Stegostoma tigrinum: one gene and its partners. The protein of the gene in region 4 purifies or fractionates together with the protein of the main gene of each other region. This does not show direct contact. Links are inferred from orthologs where the notes say so. Each region holds a gene or a part of one and is shown on either strand. Other genes may lie near its edges. The genes, in order: cttnbp2nlb, proline and serine-rich protein 2-like, cttnbp2 and stk25b.

The links.
Region 1: the proteins of stk25b (region 4) and cttnbp2nlb purify together in Homo sapiens (affinity purification with mass spectrometry; 6 studies listed by BioGRID and IntAct, counting the BioPlex papers as one, with this or other methods). This does not show direct contact. The link is inferred for Stegostoma tigrinum from reciprocal best matches to the Homo sapiens genes STK25 and CTTNBP2NL.
Region 2: the proteins of stk25b (region 4) and proline and serine-rich protein 2-like purify together in Homo sapiens (affinity purification with mass spectrometry; 3 studies listed by BioGRID and IntAct, counting the BioPlex papers as one, with this or other methods). This does not show direct contact. The link is inferred for Stegostoma tigrinum from reciprocal best matches to the Homo sapiens genes STK25 and PROSER2.
Region 3: the proteins of stk25b (region 4) and cttnbp2 purify together in Homo sapiens (affinity purification with mass spectrometry; 3 studies listed by BioGRID and IntAct, with this or other methods). This does not show direct contact. The link is inferred for Stegostoma tigrinum from reciprocal best matches to the Homo sapiens genes STK25 and CTTNBP2.

Annotation. Positions count from the first base shown.
Region 1 is NC_081374.1:6,853,386-6,860,623, forward strand, and holds the start of cttnbp2nlb (CTTNBP2 N-terminal like b), read left to right. Parts: upstream 1-4,221; 5' UTR 4,222-4,830; intron 4,831-7,068; 5' UTR 7,069-7,139; coding exon 7,140-7,177; intron 7,178-7,238. UniProt on the Homo sapiens protein: Regulates lamellipodial actin dynamics in a CTTN-dependent manner. Associates with core striatin-interacting phosphatase and kinase (STRIPAK) complex to form CTTNBP2NL-STRIPAK complexes.
Region 2 is NC_081378.1:5,838,354-5,845,207, forward strand, and holds the start of proline and serine-rich protein 2-like, read right to left. Parts: upstream 3,012-6,854; 5' UTR 2,490-3,011; intron 1-2,489.
Region 3 is NC_081371.1:35,147,203-35,154,088, reverse strand, and holds the start of cttnbp2 (cortactin-binding protein 2), read left to right. Parts: upstream 1-3,867; 5' UTR 3,868-4,247; coding exon of another isoform or gene 4,248-4,323; intron 4,324-4,375; exon of another isoform or gene 4,376-4,626; 5' UTR 4,627-4,662; coding exon 4,663-4,845; intron 4,846-5,764; coding exon 5,765-5,872; intron 5,873-6,886. UniProt on the Homo sapiens protein: Regulates the dendritic spine distribution of CTTN/cortactin in hippocampal neurons, and thus controls dendritic spinogenesis and dendritic spine maintenance.
Region 4 is NC_081367.1:6,947,161-6,954,168, reverse strand, and holds the start of stk25b (serine/threonine-protein kinase 25), read left to right. Parts: upstream 1-4,004; 5' UTR 4,005-4,165; coding exon 4,166-4,201; intron 4,202-7,008. UniProt on the Homo sapiens protein: Oxidant stress-activated serine/threonine kinase that may play a role in the response to environmental stress.

The DNA of each region.
Region 1 (7,238 bases), on a different chromosome or scaffold from region 4:
TGATAGCAAGCCAAAGCAGCTATTAGGACCAGAAACCAAAATGCTGCTCAAAACAGATATATTTTAAATGAGGGCCTGAAAGCAGAAAAATCAGACACAGAGGTGGAGGGAAGGAATTCTGGATGTTAATGCTTTGGCAATCAAAGGCTGGCTGCCAGTGATGGAATGCTTAAAATCAGGGATGAATGAACAAGAGGCCAGAAAGGTTTTTGATACAATGCCACACCAATAGAGTTATGAGGAAAGTAGGTAATGGAATATAAGGGGCAACAGCAGTAGCAGATACAAAATTGGCTGATAGGAAACAGGGTAGTGGATAATGTATATTCTTTGGGCTAGATAAAGGCTGGCAGCATAGCTGCCCAGCTGAAAGTTTTGGGACCCTTGCTTTTCCCCGATTTTACATAAAATCAAGCAAAATGTGCAAGCGACAATTTCAACATTCGGGGACAAAACAAATCTTGGTGAAATTGAAATCCAGAAAAGAACGCCTGAACTTCAAGAGGACATTCGCAAACGGTGGAGTGGGCAGACAGGCAGCAGATGAAGCTCAATGCGGAAAGGTGTGAAGTAATGCAGTCAGTTCAACTAACATGGACAGACAGTACGAAATAAAGGAACACTTCTGAAGTGTGCGCAGGAGCAAATGGACACGTGCCTAGATCACTAAAGAAGTAGGACAGATAGAGAGTGGTAAATAAAGCCCACATTATTCTTGACTTCATACATAGGAGCACAAAGTACAAAAACATGAAGGCTATGATGAATATTTGTAAGACACTGGTTAGGCGTTAGCTGGCATACTATATTGTGTAGTTCTGAACGTTACATGATTGAAAGGATGTGAATGCATTGGAGAAGTGGGGAAGAAATTTAAGAACAAAGACAAAGACAAAGACAAAGTTGCTGGAAAAGCTCAGCAGGTCTGGCAGCATCTGTGAAGGATAAAACAGAGGTATTGTTTCGGGTCCAGTGACCCAAAGTTGAGGAAGGGTCACCAGACCCGACACGTTAACTCTGTTTTCTCCTTCACTGATGCTGCCAGACCTGCTGAGCCTTTCCAGCAACTTTGTTTTTGTCTTGATTTACAAGATCTGCAGTTCTTTTGGTTTTTATTAAGAATGGTTCTCAAGATGAAATACTCAGTCATGAGAAAAGACTGGAAACATGGGAACTCTTTTCATTGGGGAGAATTGGTAAAAGTATTAAAATTCATGAGAGATCTGGAAAGGCAGATTGGGAAATGACACTCCCACTCAAGAACCAGATGGTTCAGTTTTAAAGTGTTTCACAAAAGATAAACATGAGGTGAGGAAAATCCTTTTCACACAGCGAGTAGTTTAGGTCTGGAGTGTACTGTCTGGAAATGTGGTAGAGGCAGATTCAATTGAGACATTCAAGAAGGGCATTAGATGATTATTTAAATAGGAACAATGAGTCGGGTTATGTCGAAAAGGTGAGGCGTTGGCATAAAGTTAAAACGCTTAGATAGCCAGAGTTACAGGATGGGGCAAATGACAACCTTCTGCACAATAACAATTATGTGATTCACAATGAGACAAAGAGTATTGAACAGACATCGAATCAGGATTTAACCTCAAACAAACCAGGACGAGGCCATTTGCCCCTTGAAGCCTGCTCCCCCATTTGACAACATCACAGATGATCTGATTATATCTGTAATTCCACATTTCCACTACTCCCGATGGATCTGCCATCATGGTGTCCGTTTTGCCTGCAGCACGGTATTTTTTTACCTGATGAGTCAATGCTTACATAAAACAAAGAAAAGCAAATCCTGGAGATCTGAAACAGACAGAAGCAGAAGTTTCCTGTAGACACTCATGCTGCCAAACCTGCCATGAAGATAAAGCAGATTAACTACGAACCCAGCAGGCCCAGCAGCATCTCAGGAGCACAAAAGCTGATGTTTCGGGCCTAGACCCTTCATCAGAGAGGGGGATGGGGTGAGGTTTCTGGAATAAATAGGGAGAGAGGGGGAGGTGGACCGAAGATGGAGAGAAAAGAAGATAGGTGGAGAGGAGAGTATAGGTGGGGAGGTAGGGAGGGGATAGGTCAGTCCAGGGAAGACGGACAGGTCAAGGAGGTGGGATGAGGTTACTAAGTAGGGGATGGAAGTGCGGCTTGGGGTGGGAGGAAGGGATGGGTGAGAGGAAGAACAGGTTAGGGGGGCAGAGACAGGTTGGACTGGTTTTCGGATGCAGTGGGTGGAGGGGAAGACCAGTCCCCCTCTACTGACACCCTCATCCACCTAGCCGAACCCTGGGCCACCTCCAGCACATCCCTCACCTTCCTGGACCTCTCAGTCTCCATCTCAGGCAACCAGCTTGTAACTGATGTCCATTTTAAGCCCACCAACTCCCACAGCTATCTAGAATACACCTCCTCCCATCCACCCTCCTGCAAAAATTCCATCCCCTATTCCCAATTCCTCCACCGCATCTGCTCCCACGATGAGGCATTCCACTCCCGCACATCCCAGATGTCCAAGTTCTACAAGGACCGCAACTTTCCCCCCCACAGTGGTCGAGAAAGCCCTTGACCGCGTCTCCAGCATTTCCCGCAACACATCCCACACACCCTGCACCCGCCACAACCACCCTAAGAGGATCCCCCTCGTTCTCACACACCACCACACCAACCTCCGGATACAACGCATCATCCTCTGACACTTCCGCCATCTACAATCCGACCCCACCACCCAAGACATTTTTCCATCCCCACCCTTGTCTGTTTTCCGGAGAGACCACTCTCTCCGTGACTCCCTTGTTCGCTCCACACTGCCCTCCAACCCCACCACACCCGGCACCTTCCCCTGCAACCGCAGGAAATGCTACACTTGCCCCCACACCTCCTCCCTCACCCCTATCCCAGGCCCCAAGATGGCATTCCACATTAAGCAGAGGTTCACCTGCACATCTGCCAATGTGGTATACTGCATCCACTGTACCCGGTGTGGCTTCCTCTACATTGGGGAAACCAAGCATTCGCAATAAACAATATCCCAGTCGCAAACCATTTCCACTCCCCCTCCCATTCTCTAGATGACATGTCCATCATGGGCCTCCTGCAGTGCCATAATGATGCCACCTGAGGGTTGCAGGAACAGCAACTCATATTCCGCTTGGGAACCCTGCAGCCCAATGGTATCAATGTGGACTTCACTAGTTTCAAAATCTCCCCTTCCCTCACCGCATCCCAAAACCAGCCCAGCTCTTCCCCTCCACCCACTGCATCCCAAAACCAGTCCAACCTGTCTCTGCCCCCCCCTAACCTGTTCTTTCTCTCACCCATCCCTTCATCCAGCCACACATTTTATTACCTTGGATTCTCCAGCATCTGCAGTTCCCATTATCACTAATGTTCTGGACACATGGGTTCATGGCAGATGATGAAATTTGAATGCAATGGGGGGGGGGGGGGGGGGGAGGAAAATCTGAATTAATAATGAATCCGTTGTCAATGGTCAGGAAAAAAAACGCGTCCAGTTCACGTGTAGTAGGAGCTGCCGATGCTGGGGAACCTGAGACAACAAGGTGTAGGGCTGGATGAACAGCATCAGAGGAGTAGGAAAGCTGACGTTTCGGGTCTAAACCCTTCTTCAGAAAGATGGGCATTAAATACTGACCTGGCCAGCGACGCCCTGAGCTTGTGGATAAATAGTAGATAAATGTAAACAGTTGTTAATGCACGTTGCAAATAAAGTTCACACTTTCCTATGTCCTTCTCAATCATGCAAAAAACAAAATACTTAAATTTACAACCACATACATACCAAGTATAAGAAAAGCGCTACACTTCGTCTCAATTCAACTTGTTGCAAACTTCAGAAGAGAACACGGCTTCTGTTTGCTGGATGAGGCCCCGCCCCTTCCCTGGCGTTTAACCTGCCAATCCCGTCAGGGGGCGGAGCTCGGGTGAAACAAAGGAAGCCTCCGGTGGAGGCGGAGTCACGACATAATCACATGCACAGACCTCGGCAGAAGGCGGGGCCCGCGGGCGGAACATAATGCGCATGCGTACTCCGGTGGGCGTTCGGCCGTGTCACAGCTGCGCATGTGAGATGTTTGACTGACGTGTGTTGTGGCAGAAAGCCACGCCCCTCCAGTCCGCGGCGGAAAGACGGGTCGCATAGTTACGCATGCGTAACTATTGACTGACTTTTGTGTCGGGCGAATGAGCCACGCTAGTAGAGTGGGAGGGGGTTCGGACACACCGTCACGCATGTGTAGAATCTGATTAACGGCGGTAAACGCGGAATGGGGCGGAGTAAGGGCGAGCACCGCCCATGTATCTGGAGACGGATCTCGCATGTGCGCATGCGTAGAGATTGGGACAAGGGGAAACAGTTAGCAACCAAAAGAACTGCGGATGCTTAAATCAGGAACAAAAACAGAAGTTTTCGGAAAAGCTCAGAAGGTCAGGCAGCATCTGTGAGGAAAAACAATCAGAGTTAACAATTTCGGGTCCGGCAGCCTTTCTTCAGAACCGAACCACTTCTTGGGCGGAGCTCACACTCTGCCCGCCCCCTTCCGGAAAGGGTTGTGGGGAAACCACCGCGCACGCGCAAACCTTCGCAGGCCGACGGTCGGGCGGGAACGTGCGGGGCGTGGCTCGGCCTTAACCCGCCCCCAGACCTCATATGATTGGCTCGCTAGTGCAGCAATCCGAGCCACCTATTGGACAGAACGGCTGTCAGACAACCTCGATGACGTCCCGAGGTCGAAAGAGGCGGGCGGAAAAAAAAGTGAGAGAGAAAAAAAGATCTGAGATTTTCCACCGGCTTCGGAGAGCAAAGGGGCATTAAATGTAAGTGTTTTTTTAAAAAACTGCCTTAGCTCCATAGTTCTCTTCGTGATTATGCTATGTGTTTGATGATTTTTGCTTCTGAGTCTTTTTTTCTCTCACGATTTTATTTTTTCTTTTTATCCCCTCAATTTTATTCTAATTTTTCCCACTGTTTTTGTTTCTCTTTTATTCCTTTTTCTTTTCCCAGTCACTTCAGGGCTTCTTTTCATGCAGAGCAACAAAATGGATGGATTTGCCTCAGACAGTCTTATAATGTTGTGTACCTTCCTTTCCGATTTGCACTTTGTAAATCCACTGCCTCAACAATTAGACAAAGATTAAAATGTTAATTTTATCTGCGCTGGAAAAAGATTAAAAAGCTTGAGGACCAAGTGCTTTTTCTTTAATGAAGCAAAGAAATCATAATTTCTGCTCTAGTATGTTCCTGAACATTATTTAATTTGTGTTTGGTGCAGTTACACCATTAGGGAATCAGCACTGATATTTTTTCCCACTGTTTTAAGAAGCCAAAATGACTAAAACCACAGCTGGAGTTATAAGGCTTCATTCCAGCAGTTATTTAGTAAATCTTGTTCTTGTTCCACTAGAAATAAAGCAAAGCCTGAGGACAGAATCAATCCCTGAAAGGTTTGTTTGAGCTCAGGCAGGGAAGTTCACTCCCCATCTCCCATTGTTGAGGGGAATGAGCTAACTGAGCATTTACCTCATTGCCATTTCCGGGACCTGATGGTGTGTGAATCAATGACTCTTTTTTTCACCAGTACCTAAACAATGAGACAGAGACTTAGCCTATAATTCAAGTTGAAGTTTGCAGCACTTACTTTCAGAGAAGATGTTGAACCAATGTCCCATCATCTTGGGTCAACATTGAAGACCCAATGTGTACTATTTGGGGGAAAAAAAGTGCTGAGGAGTTCTGCACAATAACCTGGATCAATATTTATGACTTAGCCAAACTGCTGAGCAACATCAGTTAGCGATTGTTGCCTGTGGGAGCTTTCTGTGTGCAAAATGGCTGTTCTGTTTTCTGCACTACATCTATACTTCAAAAGTTGACTATAATTTACATTGAGAAGTCTTGAGCCCATGAATAGTATTATGTAAAAGATAAGTTTTAACACTGTTATACTCAAAAGGTACTTAATTCCATGTGAGATAGTTTTGGATCAAGTATGAAAAATGATCTATAAATTTGAGTTCCTTGATTTGAATTTGGAAGAACAAGTTGTATTTTATATTTACCGTAGAATTTTAGAGTTCCCATTGTTTTAATAAAGCAAAACTAATTCCAAATAAATTAAAGAAAACAGCTCTGTTTTGCAGCTATGTCTCTGCTTGGGGCAAACTATTTTAATGGAAGTAACAAGTGAAATGACCAGTTTTTGTACTGCATTACAGGTATTTTAGAGGGTAGTTATCGAAAGAAAATGTATATTCTCTTGTTTTAAGAGCAAATTATTTCCATTTCTTAAATAATTCACTATTCCATTTGTGATTATATTTCAAAATTCGTTCATACTCTGAATCATTGACTCATTTCTTCTATTTTTTTCTAATTGACTAAGGTCTGTTCTCCATACAATTATTCACATGGGCTTATTTGTTGTGTTATTGCAAGTAGTGCTTTGCTGTCATTGTATAAATAGATGGCTATTATCACACTACTATTATAACAAGCCTATGAATTTGCATTTAAAGTACGATCAGTTGTTGAAAGTCTAGCCATATGTAGTAATTTTTGAAGTCAAAGTTATGATTAACAGTCTTTTTGTTCTATTCAATACACTTTAAGCTTTTTGTGGTAATAGTTCTCTCTAATCAGTGGGCACTAATTGTGTAGTTGAATCCTACTCTCCAGAAAGAGGCCACTAAGCCTGACAATGAGAGCGATTTGAATTAATTCATCCTGTCAGTCACCCTCTGTTTATAACTGTCTCACTGTTGGTAACTGCCTCTCTACTGACATTTCAGCTGTCCAGTAGCTAGTTTCGAAACCTGTTCCAGCTATATTTCTCTTCTGCAAACTCTCAAATGACACCGTGGTGACTGTGGCAAAGGTACACACTCCTTAATCTCCATGTAGTCTCTTTCTTTCGGCGTAAATATTCTGTTTTCCCAGCCACTTTAATTTCTGATGAAGGGTGAGTAGACGCAAAATGACAGTGTTTTTCACTCTACAGATCATCATTCATGCTGCCAAGTCCACTGAATTTCTCCAGCACTTTGTTTTTGTTTCAGATCTCCAGCATCTGCAGTTCTTTACTTTATCCCTCATCCTTCTCTGTCTGCGGTTTTTGGAATGGTTGGTCATGTCGCACTCCTCCAATTTGACTCCATTGTTGTACAGGTAGATGCAGCTGCACTAACTTGCCTGATTCCATTTCGATCTGTCTAATTAAATTGCTTGA
Region 2 (6,854 bases), on a different chromosome or scaffold from region 4:
TTAAGGTATGCTGAATACACTCTGACAAGATGTGTTATGGAGATAACAAGGTGTAGAACTGGATGAACACAGCAGGCCAAGCAGCATTAGAGGAGCAGGAAAGGCTGACGTTTCGGGCTGAGAACCTTCTTCAGAAATGACAAGATGTGTTAACTGGACACACCTTAAAAAGGTGCACAAACAAATCCGGCAAAGTGCTATTATACGGAACATCAATGTAATTCCCCTTTACGTGATTGAGCAAATGTACAGTAAGGTCCCCTAGTGCTTGGTAAAGTTGTGTCAACAGAATGCATTGACACAGAAAAATGCAGACTAATACTGACTTGTACATAATGCTGCAGTGATACAAAATAACTATATCGATAATCAACTCAGCACGTCAATATCAATCATGACACAGGGTAATGTTGATATTGGTACAGCAACATGGGTGCACTAATAGGGTACTCTGATTGAATCCAATTCCAGGCCTGCTTTGCTTCACAAACTCCCCTAACCCAGGAAAGAGCATACCATCCACGACCCAAGCTAAAATGCTTTTGTTGGAGCTATTTACTGCAGATGCTGGAATCTGCACTGAAAACAAAAAAAAATGCTGGAGAACACAGTGGGTCAGCAGCAACCATGCAGAGAAAGTAAGCTAACATCTCAAGTTTAGCTATTGCTCAGTTGGTGAACATCTTCTGAAGGTTGTGGGTTCAAGTCCCATTTCAGGTATCAAGTGAAAAAATCAACATGCAATTCCACTGCAAGAACTGAGGAAGCCCAGCACTGTCAGAGATACTGTCTTTCACTTGGAAACTGACTGCAGTGGTGACTTCCAACTTTCTGGCAACTGATTTTTCAACAAAATACACATGAAATTATTATTCCGTAATGCTGAGGAAGAAGACGACATTGGAAAGGGAAAGGTGTATAGGCAAACATAAGGGAAAGCTGTCCGCTGGGACCTCTCTCCATATTCTGTCAGCACAGTGTAAACTGCAAAGGAAGTGTCCAGGAATGATGTCCAACTCACCTGTACATTTCAAAGCTGCTGCCATATCTCTGAGTATAATCTTTAAAAAAATATATTATCCTCGCAGGTGGATATGAAGAAAAGAGCTCCGAAAGTACAATTTCAATAAGATAATGCTTGGGACTCCAGTCAATATCCATCCCTCAATCAACAATACAGAAACAGAAATACCTGGTCAGTATTGCTGTTTGAGGGAGCTTGCTGTTTGTAAAATCTGCTGCTGTCCTACTGACATTATAGCAGCAATTAAACTCCAAAAAGTATTCCCCTGGCCAAAGCGCGTTAGACATTCTGAGATGATGTTAGTCTGCATTGAAACAGTTTTCTTTCTGATGATTTACACATTAATTCACCACAATAGGGAATTTCTCAATTTGGCATTAAAGAGTTATGACCGACTGAATCTGTCATGATCTGTGCTGATTAATGTGTAAATATATTTAGTCATGTATTTTATAACAAAAATGTAAGCACACAGCAAACGGATGCACACAGCAAACGGATGCCTTGTGGCCCAGGATCATATAGTCGTACAGTTTTTAAGCATGGAAGAGTCCCTTCAGCCCATCATGTCCATGCTAATCATTAAACACTTTCTAATTTCATCCCATCTCCCAGCTCTTGGCCCATAGTAAGCTACAGGGTTTCAAATGATTATCTAAATAAGTTTTTAATTGTTGTGACAGTTCCTCACTCTATCATCCAGCAGTGAGTTTCAGATTTCCAATTCCATGAATAAAAACTTCCTTAAATCACCTTTAAACTTAATGCTCCTTACCCTAAATCCATGTTACTTAGCGAGTGACCCCTCTTCAGAGGGGAAAGGCTTCTTGCTATCTACTATGTCTATGCCTCTTGGAATTTTTTACACCTCATTCAGATCCCCCTCAGCTTCCTTCACTCTATGAAAAACAAGTGGAGCCTATTTTAGTCTCTCTTCAGAGCTGAATTGCTCCAGCCCAGACAACATCCTGGTGAATGAATCCCTTCTGTACCCCCTCCAGTGCTATTACATCTTTTTTAATAGTATGTGACCAGAAATGCACACAGTACTCCAGGTATGACCTAAATAATATCTGCACAGCTCCAGCATACCCACCTTGCTCTAGTATGCAATGCCTTGACTAACAAAGACAAGTATCCCAGCGCTTTCTTTACCACCTTACCTAGCTGTTCTACTGCTTTCAAGGGTCTGTGAACATGCACAGCATGGTCCCCTCTGATCCACCGTACTTTCAATGTGTCTGTCCTCCTTTGCTAGCCCTCTCAAAATGCATCAGCTCACACTTTAAATTCCATCTGAATTCCTCTCGCTTAAGAGAGACAGAATAAAACAGCATTACGGACCTTTGTTCTATTTGCCCCGAAAGACACGAAACAACATTAGCCAGAAATCTCTGGTGAGTCAGGTCGGAGTAAAGATCTGAAGAAGCAGTTACACACGAAAATTGAAACCCCAATGATTTACCTGAGTTGGCGCCGCAGCGGACAGAGACTCCCAGATGTAACAAACTGGGTGTTTATATCAGCGTCAATGTCTAAAACCTCATCTTCTTTTCCAGCCTGCCAGCTGTATCCTAACGCCCGCCTGCAAGTTCCTTCTTCGAGCTTTGACTTCACAGTCTCTGCCAGCGAGTTACTGATTAATTCTCGATTTAAAGACTCACATTTCTAGGCAACTGCCCGAGCGCAACAGCGCTCCAGCCTGTCAATCGTTTCCAATCAGTAGGAGGGAACAAGTCTTTGGAATTAAAGGGCGAGCTCAGTGCTAGATCTCTTTTCTGGGTTTTAACCACGCTTCTGCTTGCATTCTCTCGATCTTACTGGTGTTTTACTTTGAAAGGGGGTGAATTGGATTGAGGGTGGACACTGGGAAATGTGGATGCAACTTTGAAATGTACACATGACATCATTGTTGGACACTTTCCGTGCAGCTTACACGGGGTCAGAGTGTGGACAGAGAGGTCCCAGATGAGTAGCTGTGTCTCCTACTATTTCCTTCCCTTCCCTTGGCGCAATGTGATCACAATTTCACCTGATTTTCTTTTCTGGTTGAGAAAAATCATTTATCCGTTTTGTTGGAAAGTTGAAATGTTGCCACCTATTGTCAGCTGGTGACACTCAGAATTCAGAATATTCTGGGAGTCAGTCCCGATCGCCGGATTTAGGTGTTTTTTATATTTGGAACTTTTTTTTGTTATTTCTGTGGGACACGCCATTTAGGAACAGGAGGCCATTCTGCCTGCTCCGGCGATCACAGCTGATCTGGTTACTCTATGTTCTGGCCTGTCCCCCATTAAGTTGTCTGCTTACCGTGAATCAATCTAACACGGCTTTAAGAAAAAAATCAAGATCTCTTGCTTCCACTAACTTTCTAGGAAGCGAGCTCAAAAGACTCATGACCCCCTGAGAGATAAGAAATTTCGCCTCATTTCTGTCTGAGTTGTGTAACCCCTTATTTTAAACGGTAACCCTAGTTTTAGAATAACCCACATGAGTAACTAGATTGGGGGCCAGTTCAGAGGGCAGTTGAGAGTCATAGGAATATACAACACTGAAACAGACCCTTTGGTCCAACTCGTCCAGACCGACCAGATATGCTACATAAATCAGAACGCATATGCCAGCATTTGGCTCATAACCCTCTAAGCCGTTCCTATTAATGTACCCATCCAGATGCCTTTTAAATGTTGTAATCATACCAGCCTCCACCACTTCCTCTGGCAGCTCATTCTAACACGCACTACCCCCCTCAGGAAAACGTTGCCCCTTAGGCCAACTGCAATGCTGTGGGTTTAGATTCATAGACCAGCTAAGGAAGGCAGATTTCACTTCCTACAAGACATTAGTGAACCAGTTGGGGTTTTAAGACAATCAAAGATGGTGTTGTGATCAATAATATGAGACTAGCCATCAATTCCAGACTTTATTCTTTGAATTCAATTGTATTCCGCTAAGATACTGTTGAAAACTGACTTCTTTGACAAGATTTATGATCATCTACTCCAAAAACCTCCTTTATGTGGCTTGGTGTTATACGTTGATCTCATGAAGCACCTAGGGAGGTTTTGTCACTTTAACAGTGCCATTTGAATGCAAAGATGTTGTTATGAAGCAGTCTGTAAATAGCTGCATGCTGACCTTGGGGGATTGTATACCTCGTGTCCCAGGTCATTGTTGGAGTAAGTGTGCCAAGACCATCAAGTACCAAAGGGGTATAATGGCAGGTGTGGCCGCTGCAGTAAAATGCCTGTTGCCTAGTCTGTACAGCTTTCTCTCATCTTGTACCACTTCAGCAGTGAAATACTGTATTGGGGCACTTTCAAATCAACTCCCGTGCTAAACATTGTGTGCATTTAGCGGAGACCAGAAACTGTGCAGTTTGGAGGCACATTCCATTTGCCGTTCTGATGTCCGGTGGAAGTTGGTTTTGAAAGAACTTCCATTTCTACTCATTCCAATGCTGCAGAGATCCTGTAAATAATTTCACTGACAGACGCTTCTAGAAAAGCTATTGAGTGATGATGGGCCATTTTTTTGGAAATTTTTGAAACCAAAATTAATAATGACTAAATAAAAACTGTTTCTCAAAACACAATGTTGAACATTCATTCAAGTAAATGTGTCAAAAGAATTCAGGGGTGACCTGGATTGAAAATTTCAAAACTTTGATAAATTTTTTTTATCTGACCGATATATTTTTGCACGTAGATAGGGGGATAGAGTTAAGATGCGTGTCAGCTATGAATCGTGAAACAGGGTCATGGGGCTGAATGGCTTTCTGTCACTGCTAAGAAGGTGAATTTCATATTTTGTATTGGCATGAAATGTGCACAGCTATGTTACTGGTCAGCTTGACTTCCTTGCAATGGAGCAGTTATGACATTAAGCCCCCTAAAAGAGTTTATCTCTCTTGGTTGTAGCTCTATCCTTGGTACTCAGTAACACGGACAGACAGTAACTCAGTCTCCTAATCTCCAGAAGTTTGATTCTTCCAAATATCTCACCAAACCCAAAGATCAATCAAAACTTGAAGTTTATTGAATGCAGGGTTGGCATATTGTTGCAAACCTTTCCCTGCATTGGTTTATCTCTACTTTCCCCGTATCAATGTTGTTGCAGCAAAGGAGCTTGATGTTGCATACTGTATCAATCTGGGATCTATGCAGGCACACCGCCATGGCTCCCTGATTGAACCAGATTAATTGCCCCAATCAGGGAACTCAGATTCTATGAGGTTCTCCTGGCTGACCTCATTACAATCCCTACGCTGGCTAGTGGTGTTATCACTGGATTGTTAATCCAGGGACCCAGGAAATATCCCGGAGACCTGGGTTTGAATGGTAGATGGTGGAATTTGAATTTTAAGGAAAAATCTGGAATTAGGAGTCGGATAATGACCATAAAATCACTGCTGATTGTCAGGAAAACCCCCATCTGATTCACTAATGCCCTGTAGGGAAGGAAACTGCCATCCTTACTTGATCTGGCCTACATGTGACTCCAGACCCACGTGAATGTATTTTAAAAATCAAACTTGGTGAAAATTGACAGACTCACTTAATACAGCGCAGAATAAATTGAAAGCTGAGGATAGGAAATCAATTCAGGAATTCTACTGTGCTCCATGCCTCTGAGGAGAAATGTAAGTTTGTAAGGGGGCATTGAATGCGGTTGAGAATGATACCTAACCTGAACACTCTCACCTGGCCATATCAGAGGGTAGATGATGCTGCATCTGCCTCACAGAAGAGGCTAGTCACTAAGTACTGTAACCGGCTTGAGGTGGAACTGCAGACACATTGATTGCTCTTTCCATAGTAGTGAGGGTTAGCACTGAATTAGTTGATTCATTGATTGCTTTATTATTCTCACGTACTGAGATACAGTGAAGAGTGTTGTTTTATGTGCTATACAGGCTGATCGTACCATACAGAGTGCATCAGGGTAGCAGGACAGAGTGCAGAATACAGTGTCACAGCCACAGAGAAGGTGCAGGGAGAGAGAGAGAGAGAGAGAGAGAGAGAGAGAGATCAGAATTAATATTTGAGAGATCCATTCAAAAGTCTGATAACAGCAGGGAAGAAGCTGTTCTTGAATCTGTTCGTGCACTTACTCAAACTTTTATATCTTCTGCCTAATGGAAGAGGATTGAAGAGAATATAACTGAGGTGGCAGGGGTCGTTGATTATGTTGATTGCTTTTCCAAAGCAGCGGGGAGTATAGAAGGGAATGGAAGGAAGGCTGGTTTGTGTGATGGGCTGGGCTGTGGTCATGACTCTCTGCAATTTCTTGTGGTCTTGGGAAGAGCAGTTGCCATACTATGCTGTGACGCATCTGGATAGAATGCTGTCTATGGTGCATCTATAAAAATTGGTAACTGTACCATTACAGGTGGCACCTATCAGCCTGCAATCCAAAGATGCTCACCGTAATGACAGATACTGCATCCATTAAGGCGACATAGTGACCATTAGGAGTCCTCACATCACCTCCATGGCCTAGCTCTCCCTCTCAGCATTTCTTCACAGACAGAGATTTTTGGAAAATTGTTTTCGTTGGTTGAGAGTCTGCTGTGACCTCAAGAGTCCTCTCCAGGATTTGTAGCTGCTACAACAGTGAGTACAGGTTGGGGTGTACTCACTGTTGTGGAACCATTCAAACTTTCCTTCTTTTCTCTTCCATGTTGCTTCTTTGCTCAGTCTCAATAGGCATCTGTAGCACTCCTAAAGAAGCATATCCAAGCCTTACCATCGCTGGCCTGCAGTTTCTGCTGGCAGCAGACAGAGGTTGGTGGAGGATATGGAAAGGGCCTTCCTCAGAGAGCCTGTCA
Region 3 (6,886 bases), on a different chromosome or scaffold from region 4:
CCCCCTCGTCAGAGGAGCTCTTATAGCCCCCCTGTAGCTGCCTCTTCCCGCCTGATGGTTGCGGTTTCTGGGCCCATCGACGCACCTTCCGCCTCGCTTTCCGGACTGTTGTCCACTCCCCTGGGTCGCCTGTCGCCGCCTCCATCGACTCCGGGTTGTCGGGGGGGAGCGGAGCCTGCAGGGGTGCTTTGCCGGCCTCGGGCCCACCCTGCGGGGCTGGGCCCACCCTGCGCGGCCTGGCCCTCCCGCTCATTAGTGGGGTCCTTGCTGGGCCCTGGTGCCTTCCTCTCCTCCGGGGGCGCTGGCCCCGCATTGCCCCTGCCAGCAACCTGGGCATAGGTGGTCCCCCGCTGCCGGCATGCCCTATAGAGGTGGCCCGCTTCCCCGCAAAGGTTGCAGCTTTTCTCTTGTGGGCAATCCTTTGCAAGGTGTCCCTCCTCCCTGCAGATGGTGGCTTTGCAGTCGGCCGCCACATGACCTGACCTACCACAGGCATGGCAGACTTTAGGTTGCCATGCATAGGTCAGGTAGCCCTTGCTCCCACCGATCGCGAAGCTGGACGGTGGGTGTACGACATTCCCGTCCGCACCCATCCTCAGCATCACCTTGACCTGCCTCTTACTCGTCCAGATGCCAAAGGGGTCCATGATGTCAGTTAGGTCCCCTTCCACCTTCACGTACCTTCCGAGGAAGGTCAGGACATCAACTGCTGGCACATGCGGGTTGTACATATGTACAGTCACCATACGGCTCCTCTGCGCTGGCATCACAAACAGCGGGACAGCAGGCAATACAGAGAGGGGGCCCTCACCTCCTTTCTCCTTGAAAACCTCCAGGAAGTGCTCGCAAAGCTTGGCACTCCTGAAGGTCACGTCGTATAAACCTCCTCCGGGGAAATCCTGCAGGCAGTAAATGTCCGCAGCAGCGAACCCGCAACAGTCCAACAGGACCCTCTTCACGAAGAAGGTGCAGTCCACAGGTGCACCTTCATCCACCTTCTTTACGGAAACACGGTTGGCGTTCCGGACCCCCTGACCTGGGGCACGAGCACTTGCCGCAGCCATCGTTGCAGGTTGGCTGCTCCCCTGAACCAGCGTTAGGCCGAAGCCAGCATTAAGATCCACTGGTTGCAAGGGTGCACAGCCAACCCGACGTCCTCCTTCCACCTCCAAGACAGCACTCTCCTCCTCTCAGTCCACAAGAGAGTGGTTCTTTATTTTGTTCCAGATATAAGCTGGTTCACTGAGCTTGAAGGTTTGTTCCCAGATGTTTTGTCACCATTCTAGGTAACATCATCTGTGAGCCTCCCACAAAGCACTAGTGTTATGTCCCACTTTCTATTTACCTGTTTAGGTTTCCTTGGGTTGCTGATGTCATTTCCTGCATTGGTGATGTCATTTACTGTTCCTTTTCTCAGAGGATGGTAGATTGGCTCCAAATCAACATGTTTGTTGATGGAGTTCCTGTTGGAATGCCATGCTTCTAGGAATTCTCGTGCGTGTCTCTGTTTGGCTTGTCCTAGGATGGATGTGTTGTCCCACTCAAAGTGGTGACCTTCCTCATCTGTATGTAAGGATACGAGTGATAGTGGGTCATGTCGTTTTGTGGCTAGTTGATGTTCATGTATCCTGGTGGCTAGCTTTCTGCCTGTTTGTCCAAATGTAGTGTTTGTCACAGTTCTTGCAAGGTATTTTTTTTTCGACATAACACCAGCGCTTCGTCGGAGGCTCACTGATGATGTCACCTAGAATGGTGACGAAATGTCTGAAAACTAACCTTTCAGCTCAGCGAGCAAACTCACATCCAGATAAATATAGCCTATTTTCTAAAGAATTAGAAGGTTAAGGATATCTGACTGAAGTCTTCAAGATATTAACGGGAAAAGACAAAGTAAACAAAGATAAACTATTTCCACTAGTTTGACATTGTAGAACTAGGGGGCACAGTTTGGGAATTACAGCCAGACCATTCAAGAGAGATTTTGGAGGCACTTCTATATACAAAGGGTCATGTTTGGAGCTCTCTTCTGGAAATGGCAATGGATGCAGGGTTAGTTGTTAATTTTAAGTCCAAGATTGATAGTTTTTTGTTCAGCAAAAGGCAGGAATACGGAGTTAGGTCACAGATCGGCCATGCTCTCACTGAATAGTGGAAGAATGGCCTACTGCTGTTCCTTTGTCAGAGATGTGGGATTTGGATTATATAGATAATCTGGGGACCTGACATCGTTTGTTATAAACAATTGCTCATCCCTTAAATTAAAGTAACTACATCATGTCATAGATACCCTACATTCCAAAAGGGACTGGAGGTTGGTGTGCAAAGAGGCAGTTTTACTGTTCCTGCATCTATAAGACATTCTTACAAAAGCACAGATATTTGACTTTTCTTCCTCAAGGTGCCCTCCAATTGTTCGGTTTCAGTTTCCACGTTTCTTAGAATTAAGCAATAAACTAAGCTTTGTGCAAGATTGCAGATTATTTCCTTAAAAAAAAGCTCATGAAATTGAAAGTAATTCCCATTCTTTGATCACTTGTGTACAAATAATGGCATTGAGATGGAAAGTGGCAAAGTTGTTCTTCGGAGTTTCAATTTATGCTTTTTGTGAAGAATGAAGATGATGCTGCGTGAGAAGTGACAGGAGATTTGCTTCAAGCAATTTTTTTCTGAATTATCTCCGGATTTTACCACATCCTATTTAACAGTAAGAAATCAAAATTATGATGTCGCCAAACTGCCTACTGTTTAGTAATTCCATTTTTAAAATTAATTTGATTAGAATTAATCCTAGTGCATATGCATTTGAAGTTTTTGCTGTATATAGATTATTTTAGCCCAGTTTGTGGTTACAGCATTTCCATCTTAATTTAATCAGGATATTTTTTCCAGCAATTTAGTAGGAAAGTGAATACTTTCCACTGACATTTAGCTACTTGTTTTCTGAAATGAACATTATTTTGTTCCACAAGGTTTAAACATTCTTCAGGTTCTTTGATGCTCTCCTTTAGTATTATACTCCAAATGGACACAAGATTTGCATTTTAATATGCAAAAAGTAACATATATTTTACCTGAGATAATATAGAATAGCTAAAAGCTATAAAAACTACTTTTGAGTTATCCTGCATGTGAGATTTCAGAAACTAAGTATTAGAAGCTCCATTGGATCCAGAAGATTCACACAGGAGATCTGTCTCTTTTTGCCTGGCATCAATCCACGCAGCTTCCTGCATGATGTGGGTCTTCATCCACTAAGGGTAAATTACTGATGGTGATGGGAGGCCCACTTATTGGCCTCAATAGGCCCAAAGACAGGGTAGACCGTCTGACACCTCCACATACCCGACATATCGCCCAGGTTAGGTGAAACAAGTAGGTCTTCCACCTTGAATCCTGCCAGCAAGGAAGATTGAAATCCAGCTAATTAACTCTGCTTTCTCTTAGAAATTCTGCCTGATCTGGTGACAGTAGTTCCAAAATTTTCTATTCACATTACAGACTGACAAAATTGAGTGTTTTGCTTTGGCTTTACAATCAACAGAAGTAAAAATTTTCCCCAAAAGTCTGCCTGACAGATTGATGCAGTTAATTACACTTACCTTCATTTTGACTAACGGCAAAGACCAAACAAATAAATTAAAAAAGCTTGAAAAAAATGGCAGTCTACTTTTTTCGACACCCGTTATCTGGTTCCCAATGCAACACAGGAGTTTCAAATTTATTAGAGAAAGGCAGGGACTTCAGATAAAGCGACGAATATTTTAACATTTCTCCTATCTCGTTATCAACCAACCAGCTTCCAAGTCACGATATCTTGTCAAGCAGGGTCTCCGTGACTCCTGTGCTGTTCTTACGATGATAGCAGTTATACAGATCAGTTACACCTCACTGTGAAATGGCTGCAGAAGCATTTTGCCACAGTCCGAGGTCTTGATTTTGGTTTGGAATATGTGAGCGTTCATGGACAGTGAAACTTCCGTGCCCGTGAGGCTTTGTTTATAAATTTTCTACACTAACTATGCAATGTTACGAGAAATGGGTCCATGTCAAAATTACCAGGCAAACGTGAGACTTGTTCACCGGGAGGTATTCAGATGAAAAATCATCAGCAAGAACAGCGGTGCTTCACACTGCACTGACCCCAGCCTTCAGAAGAGTTACCCTTCATGTGTCATTTAGTTTCGCCTCTCCAGTAATAAGTTGCTGGTTTGGTAGAGCCTCTGTGTGGCTATTTCATTGTCAGTTTGATGTTCAGCTCGGAATCTCTGGGTTTGGTTTATGCAGTCTCTCTTTTTCTCCATTGGTTGTACAGCCTCTCTCCAGGTTTGGTTTATGCAATCTCTCTTTTTCTCTCCTGGTTTTGTTTGTGCAATGTCTCTCTGCTTTGATTTGTACAGTCTCTCTCTCCTGGTTTAGTTTGTGCTGTTTCTCTTTGTAGATTTGATTTATGCAATCTCTCTATTGGTTTGGTTTGTACAGTCTCTTTCTGTCTGTAGATTTGGTTTGGTTTGTGCAATCTCTCTCTCTGCTTAGGTCTGTACAGTCTCTCCCTCCCTCTCTCCAGTTTGCTTTGTGCTGTTTCTTTTATAGGTTTGATTTATGCAGACTGTGTCTTTCTCTCGACAGGTTTCGTTTCTGCAGTTTCTCTCTCGGTTGCTGTGAATGGGCTCTGGTTTTTCTTTGCTGGTGGTCACTGCCCCCTGTCTGGTTGCTGGCGCTGAGTCTGTCTGTCTGTATTCCCCCCTCCCTCCCACCCCCTCACAAGGCAAAATGGCGACTGAGAGCGAGTTGAGGCCGGACAGCGGCGACCCCTCGTCTGAGGAACAAGCCCCCACTGTCTGCCAGGTAAAGTCCAGTGAGTGACCCGTACCGCGGAGTCAGCTTTATCAACGGCAATGTGTATTAAATAAATGAAGAAAAGCCCGCTCCTTTGTGAGAGGTTGAGTCTGGAATGTAGCCGCATAAACTCAGTGGATACAATGTATCCGTTCCCTGTGGAAGTTGATGCGGGAAGCGGCCACACGCTAAGAGGGGTTCAGCCTGGAAAATGTAACCGTGCAGTTCTTCTACCTCTTCATAAATTCCGTTCCCGTCGCTTTTCTTTTTCGTAACGTGTTTGAAAGCACGATTTGATTTGGGCTTTAGAATCGATTTACGTTTGGCGTTTTGCTCACACCGTTGCCGAGATTCTCATTTTCTTTGCTGGCTTTATAGTGGAACGTACTACATTCCGAAATTGAAATTCGATTGAAGGCATTTTTTTTCTGTTTGAAAACGAAAACCCACCCACACACCAAGGTTTTTGCCGGCCCGCAGCACTTTGTTTGCCCTGAACAAAACCCCGAGGGTTGCCTTCCTGCAGCTGAAATCTGAGCCCGTGTCTATATCATTTATCTTACTCAGTTCAATAAGGCAAAACTCGATTGTATCGAAGATATTATTTGTCTAAACTACATTTCCTTTCATATTATATCGCAATTGCTGTTTAATTGTAATTGATGAGAACATTCGGCTACCTTAAATCGTAAGAGCTGTAGGAGAATCGACTAGCCACCTTAAGGAATTGAGGGTTTTTTTTGTATTATCGTGTTTTATACAGTACGTAGAACAGTTGCACATTTGTTTATGGTCTTTTGATTTTTGTTTCAGTCAAACATTGTTAGAGGCGTAAATTATGTTTTGTGTTGTCATTCAGCTTAATGCTTAATACATTGGTGTGAGTCCTTATCCACTTAAATTGGAAGTAAATTTGTTACTGTTCCAGAAGTCTGAATTTGACCTGGAGAGTCTGAGTAAAACCGAGCTGCTGACTTTCCTAAGTATCCTTGAAGGAGAATTGGAAGCCAGAGATCTGGTGATCGAAACGTTAAGGGTAAGTGATAGACTTTCTTTTCTTAACTGTTTCTATTTCACCCTCCATTTATAGGATGGTGCAAATGTGTGATGCACACATTTCACACAGGCTTTCATTTCACTAAAGAACCAGATGCTGTTGGAATTTTCCAGCTACAAGTATTCAACTTGGCAAATAATTTGATAGGTATTAGCAATTTCAAAGACATCCTGTCTTACACTTACACTGTAAACGAATGCTGTCATCATTAGAGTTTGCAGCATTTCTGGTTGCTTTGCTGTACAGGTTGATGTCAGGCTTAAATACTTCATGAACGATTTGCCATTAAGCTGCCCTCCTACGAATTAGAAGTGCTGCACTGATGTGAACGAAGGAAAGCTCAAGGCTGTGGGTGGAAATGAATTATTTAAATTATTAGAACCAGTTGACAAAAGCTGTTAAAACTGCTGGGACGTTTGGTTTCATAAGTAGGGAGACAGTGTAAAATTGAAGTGGTAATGATGAGCCATTGGTTGGATTGCCATTAGAATGTTACTTCTGTTTTTGGAATCTAAATAAGGAAAAATGTCAAGATTATGGAATGGGTACAAAAGGGATTTATTAAAGTGATACCATTTTGTGGGAGATTTGTTACAAGAAGATAGTCACAGATTGTGATATTTTTTTTCTTAATGGTATATCTGTGAAGGTTAAGAGGCAACTTACTGGTGTTCCAAAGTGGGTTTAGGTAACTGTGTTTAAAAAATATCCAGATTGGTGACACACAAAGTTTAGTGCTTAAGTTTAAGATGCACACCAAAATGGAAATGATGGTTAGGTGATTTTCGTAGCTTGTGAAGGAACTCCAGTGTGTTATGCTTTCTATTGGGATGCTCTGTATTTATTAAAAAAAACTCTTGTTAGCATAATACTTTTAGTTTATGTTATACAATGAAAGCACAGCTGTGTAAGAAGCCACCATGACAATATTCGTGACCCACATTAAGCTTAAACTCCAAATGTAAGATAAATATAGTTGTCCTATATTTTCCT
Region 4 (7,008 bases):
TGCAGTCACAGCCTTCCTTTAATTTGGTTGCTAATCATGTGAGCCAAGGTCTTTTCTTCTATGAATTCTTTCTTGTAAGCTTCCCATGGTTTTCTGTCTTTTTCCTCACAAAAAGAGAGATGGAGACAGAGAGAGACAGACATAGACAGACAGGCAGACAGTAAGAGAGAGAGAAGCAGAGAATATATTTGTCTGCAGTGTCTGGATACTTTTGACTCAAAACATTCTTCGCAACATTCTGTCTTGAATTCGTCCTCTTTTTACTTCCAAAAAGTAACATTGTGTTGCACACCTTACTTGTTTTCAGTCATAGAAGTCCAATGTCCAATTCAGTTTCGAGTCCTAAAAGTGACAGAGCAAGTAAACACTTTGCAAACATAAAGATAATTTCCAACAAAAGCAGAAATTGCTGGAAAGCCTCAGCAGGTCTGGCAGCATGCAAGAAGAAATCAGAGTTAATGTTTCGGGTCCAGTGACCCTTCCTCAGAACTGATGGCAGTTTGGCAAAGCATTTCAGAGACAGTGGGAACTGCAGATGCTGGAGAATCTGAGATAACAAGGTGTAGAGTTGGATGAACACATCAGGCCAAGGAGCATCAGAGGAGCAGGAAGCTGACGTTTCAGGCCTAGACCTATGATGCTGCTTGGCCTGCTGTGTTCATCCGGCTCTACACCTTGTTATCTCGTAGCTTGGAAAAGGGTGGTTGTATGCAGAAAGTAGCCTGGGAGAATGAATAGGTATTAATGGACAATTAGTGGCTAATGATGGGTCGTGTGTAATAGCAGACTATCAGCTAACAAGGCCTGGTATGTGGGGGTTGGGGTAAGGACTTGGGAAAGGTGGTTCAAGCCCTAAAATTGTTGAACTCGATATTGAGTCCAGTAGGCTGTTGAAATCCCAGGCAGAAAAATTAGGTTTTTTTTTCCAGACTGCCAACACGGTTTGTGAAGCAAGACTATTTCAACAAATGTAACAGAAATCTTTGAAAGATTCACTAAGATGATGCATAGAGAAGGATTGATTGATGTTGCATATGTGGATTTTTAGAAGGTTTTTGATAATGTTCCACGCAATAGTTTATTAGTTAAGATTAAGATGTGTAGATTTGCAGAATGGAACAAAAACTGTTTAGGCATTGAGGTAAACAATTGGTATGAAAGAGTTATTCTCAGATTGGTGGGAAGATGTTGAGGCTCCAAATACTACTTAATTGGGACAGGGGGAGGTTAGAGACAAGACAGGAAGTCAGGACTGGACTAAAGAACTGGATCAGAAATCATTCGGAGGTCCAGCTTTCCACCCCTCCTGTATATTCACGGTGCTTGTAAGATTTATGGGTTTTGCTTGAGATAATTGGCAAAATGTAAAATGAGTTAATTAGCTTTTTAAAAAGGGAGGCATTTACAAGGATACTGGTGGAAGAGCTTTTAAAGTGAGTATTTTTGCCACTCATCATCTGATCCACTTTGCGACCATTCTGCCAGTTTAGTGCCTGTTATTAGCAGTTTGGTGAAGGCTGTGGTGTATAATGGGTAAAATACTCTTTCTAAAGCCAACACTGCAAAAATGAGTAATTAAAAATGAAGCTGAATGAAAGGCTAGAATTTTAAAGAATGGTCATGTTATGTTTTCCTTTGTGATTTTTAAAAACAAATACATGAAACAAAATTTTAAAAATAGAGTTTCAAAATTGTTAAATAAAGCATTTCAACTGACTTTTAATGTCTAAGTTAATGTTTCTATTTCTCAGTTAGCGTCAGATACATTTTTCCATGCTTTGTGAACAAAATGTTTAACAAAACCAAAATCATGAAAACTCCCTGAGAGCATAGAGATTCTTAAATATGACAGGAAGCCTCGTTTACATCTTTGGCATATCATTATTACCAGATAATGCTGTCGCTTCGAAATCATCACAATCATGATGGTATGAGAGGGAAATCAGTTGGCAGCAGGGTCAGACCTACCCCTTCACAATTTAACCCGTGAAGTTCAGGTAGTATTCTGGTAAAGCAACACTGGACTCGCTCAAATACAGCAAACTTAGTTTTAACTGCCATCTTACCACTGCACTCTTGATAAACTGGCATTAAAAAACCCTCAAATAACATGATTTACCAAGATGTCTGAATATTTATGCTTTAAATAAGGTATAACAGTGATGTGTATTCCCCCCACATTACATTTCTATCGCATATTGTGTGGTTTTGCTTGATTTTAGGAGATGTGTTGATGTTTTTACAATGATGTTTTCAGGGATGTAATGTCTCGAAGTTTCTTTGGCCAGAGTTTACTGTGGTTATGCGTATCTCTTGATTACCTGGAATCTTTGAATAACCTGGTCCCATAGGTGCTGGTTAATTAAAAGTTTGCTGTACCTCTACATGCGCAGCACCCAAAAATGTTCACAGTATGTCCTGCCTGATTTGGATCTCTGTTTGTTCCCTTTGATCCCTCTGAAGTTAGTATTTCTTCTGGGTTGCCTACTTCTGAAAGATCTTAACAGGGCGGATGTGGGAATGAAATTTCCTCTCAAAGATGAGTCCAGAACTAGGGTGCACCGATTTAAAATTAGACGTTTCTCTGTTGGGACAGAAATGAGGGGAATTTTTTTTCTCTCTCAGAGAGTTGTGAAATTTTGAAACTCTGCCTCAGATGATGGTGGATTCTGCGCCATTAAATATTTATAAGGCAGAGGTCAATGGATTCTTGATGAACAAGGAAATGAGGGGGTATTGGGAGTAGGTGGGGATGTGGAATTCGAAACACAAATAAATCAGCCATGATTTTATTTAATGGAGGAGCAGGGACCAAATGGTCTACTTGAGTAAGATACTCCATTGATCTCAGCTGGAGTATTGCGGACAGTTCTGGGTGCTATTATTAGTTGGAAGGATGTAAATGCATAAAAGAAGTTTACAAGAATGGTTCTATGGATGAAGAACCCCTGTTGTGAGGATAGATTGAAGAGTTTGGGACTCCTTGGAGAGATCTGATATAGGTTCTCAAAATCATGTGCAGGCTAGCTAGGATAGATGGCCAGCAGCTGTTTCCACACAGAAAAGAATGAGGAAGAGAGGACATAGATTTAAAGTGATCTGTAAAAGTGAGCAAAAATATTTTGGTGCAGCCAGTAGTCACAGTATGGAATGCAGTGCCAGGAAGTGTGCTGGAGACAAGTATATGGGGAAATTGCACGACTTTGGCATTAGGTAATGAAGCTCATTTAATGAGCCAGTGCATGCAGTCACGATGGACCGAATGGCCTCCTTCTGTTCTATGATCCTGCTCCTATTTCCTACATCTAGCCATTTTTTTCCACAAAGCTCTGAGTACTGCCCTTGCTCTGTTTCTTGACTTTGTAAGATTTGGGTGTAAAGTGGTGTCTGAGAACGCTGCCTTTTTCCTAGGATGGTGGCGGCGAGCACGAGGGGGCATAGCTTTAAACTGAGGGGTGAAAGATATAGGACAGATGTCAGAGGTAGTTTCTTTACTCAGAGAGTAGTAAGGGTATGGAACGCTTTGCCTGCAACGGTAGTAGATTCGCCAACTTTAGGTACATTTAAGTCATCATTGGACAAGCATATGGACGTACATGGAATAGTGTAGGTTAGATGGGCTTGAGATCGGTATGACAGGTCGGCACAACGACGAGGGCCGAAGGGCCTGTACTGTGCTGTAATGGTCTATGTTCTATGTTCTAATGCGGGGTTAGAAGAAGGTGCTCTGCAATTGCAAGTTGTTGTTGTTGGTCTGCTGCTGAGATTGCCGTGTGTCATTGCGGGGCGGGGCTCTGTCAGGGTGATTGACAGGTGGACACTGCGGCTGTGCGGAGTGACGCCAGCCCAGCCGGCCTGAAGGCTCAGGCCGGAACCCCGGCGCGACGCGGGGCATGCCGGGGCTTGTAGTGCCCACCGTGCTGCGCGGGGCGGTGGCGGCCGATTCCAGGACTCCTGGTCCCGGCGTGCGCCGCGGCACGTCCGCGCCTGCGCGCTGTGGGCGGGCAGCAGGCGATCTGGAGACCCAAACAGTGAGGGGCTGATCGGTGTTTGCGGAGGATCCAGGCGGCCTTTGGCGGCGGTAATGTCCCCTTGGGCCTGCCTTTAGAGGTTGTACTGTAACCCACACCGCTGGAGACCTCTAAGCACTGTCTGACCGACTCCCATGGAAATGGCTCATATTCGAGACTTCAGTATCCAGGTAGGAGCAGGGGCAGCTGCTGGCATTCTGTAGAATGTGGCTGGCCCTGGGCTTTTCTCTTTCTCTCTCTCTCTCCTTCCCACCCTCTGATCTAAAATATCATAGGTGTCTTTGTTTCCCCCATTTCTATCATGTCAATGAAATGCCCACGACCAAAACGTCAATTCCATGTATTTTGTTGATCTTGGGGGTAGGTGTTCTGGGTGGACTGACCCTGTCGTCCGCCTCAAAGGTGTCTCTGATTGGCATGTGAGTTGGTGTTGACTGTGTGACATCAAGATGCCCCAGTGAAACCCACACTGATGGGCATCCTCGGGGTTGAGTATGTATCTGTGCCAGTTGGAGTCACGCTCCACACAAAGGAGGATGCTCACGGTGGTTGGAGGACGACCCTCCCGGTCACAGGCTATTTCTGTACAGGTTCCACAGGGTAGTGACCCAACCAGCTTCAGCTGCTTTGCCTGTGACCTTCACTTCATCACAAAAAGCCAGAAATGGGGACGTTTGCGTAGTGACCAGCACTATTTACAACTCCTCAGGTACTGAAATGGCCCAAATGCAGCCAGGCCTCGACAACGTTTTGGCTGAGATTAGTAAGTGGCAAGTAATATATGTGCTACATATCCCAAACAATGACATTAAGCAACAATATAACCACCTTCTCATTGTATCAAGTGCCACTGTTGAATCCCCAATATTGACATAAGTTATAAACTCAATTTTTTTTTACATGGAAGCCTGTCTTTTCCATATGTCTGGCCCACAACAGATATTTCGATATTTACCAGTGATCAAAAATGCAACAAGACTGGCCGTGTAAGTAAGGTGGCAACAAAGCCAGTCAGACGTTGAGTGTTGTTAGCAAATGACTTTTTTTTTAAACACCACCTTCCATCTACAAGGCTCAAACTTGACATCATTCTGGAAAAAGCAGCCTGCAGATTGTCACTCTATCTATAATCTTAGACATACACTCCCTGTATTCTTCGTGCACAGTGGCAACAATGTATAACCGTTTAGAAGATGCATTGTACCAACTTGCAAAGGACTGCTTTCAAACCAGGAACCTTCATTGCAGCTGTTTCAAAACCCTAAGCTCCCCTTCCTAACAGCATTGTGGGTATCTCTGCATCTCTGCATGAGCAGTAGCGCTTCAAGAGGACGGCTCAACATCATTTTCTCAAGGGCAATTGACGCTGCCCTTTTCAAACAACCATGAGTTATTAAAATCAAAAGTGCCCCTTCACTCCCCTGCACAAAAATAGATTGCTGTCTTGTAGAGTGGCATAGTCCCACAAGGTATTAGCAATTGGAAAACCTTCAACGTTTTTTGAAATGGCCAATATGTGCCAAATCAACATGTTTATTCTAATACTGTAACAAGAACTAGTGTGTTTTTAATGAGCACCTCATAAAGCTAATTTGTTAAAAGGCAATAGATTCATCGTGAACCATGGGAAAGGTGGACAACATGCTTTGGAGAAATGCACATGTGTCAGCAGTTTGCAACAAAATATTTCTTGTGTCACAGTGTGATGATTAGATCTTCTTTGGGTGAGGAATCACAAAACAGTGGTTAGGTGATTTAATCTTTTTAAAATCCGGCACCTTGTCTGATGTAGTTTGCACTGACCTTTGAAACAGTCGGATACAGTTACTGGCATCAGTACCTAATCTTCATGGATGGAAAGAGATGACATTAATGGCAGTCGCTTGTAATTGGGATAGCCTAATTAAACATCTAGATATCTTTTTCAGGATAAGGTGCATCAAAGGACATTGCTTTTGAATATTTCCCTTTGCTTATTGTTTGCTTCCTTTCAGCGCAGTCATTTCCATTACAGATTGCTGCATTAATGCAGATTTTCTAGCAATGCTCTTTCAGCCACATGCATGAATTTTATTAGACAATGCCTTGCCTGTATTGTGGGTAAATGAACTTGTACAAATTTCTTCACAAATACTTAGCCTCATTCAATGGTAAATTTTGCAGTTCTATCCTGGGGCCAGTGCTGTAAATCCTGGACAGAACTTATCAGACCCACCACATCCTGATACAACATTGAATTTTCTATCCAGCTGTCACGCACCAATATTTTGACATAGCCAGTGTGGTTGCCCAGAATTTTGACTTGCTCAGGGCGTAGGAGACCTGCCCTTGCTTGTTCTCTTGGAGCTGCTTTTCTTTGTACGGCTTCCTTCCGCTGGCTTGTAACAGTCAAATTGGCCACTGTGACAATTGTTCCTAGACAACAATGCTGGTGTTTCCATGGTGCTGAGGTTTGGCATTTTCATCCGTCTTTGATGCTGTTTGGAGATGACCAATTAGCAGTAACCGAAGAATTGAAACAAATAACGATCAAGAAGGGACTTGCACATTCTGCCTTTAATCCTGGCGTTTTTACCAGTGAAACCTCTAAGAAAGGCTAGTGTTCACATATGTTGCGAGCTGCACTCACATGAGTTTTGAAATCCTGCAGCCAGAATCTAAGTTTCTAACATGTTTTCTATTTTCTGATCAGAAATGCAATTAACCACTTTGGATACGCAATTGGCCACTTATAGCTAGTGGACAGCACTGCTTCAGAATACAAATAAAAACAGGATCAGAACAGCAGCTGAGAATCACTTTTCCTTTCTAAGAACTCTTCAAAGTTGCCTTCCTTTTTAAATGATATTTTGTGCTTTTGGTTGTAAAGAGCTGATGCCCTTTAATCAAGCTACTCAGCTGATTGAGAGTTTAGGTTATAATAATCAAAAGTGTGTTGTTTAGTTTTCCTTTTTACAGGATCAGAAGTCACTCGACA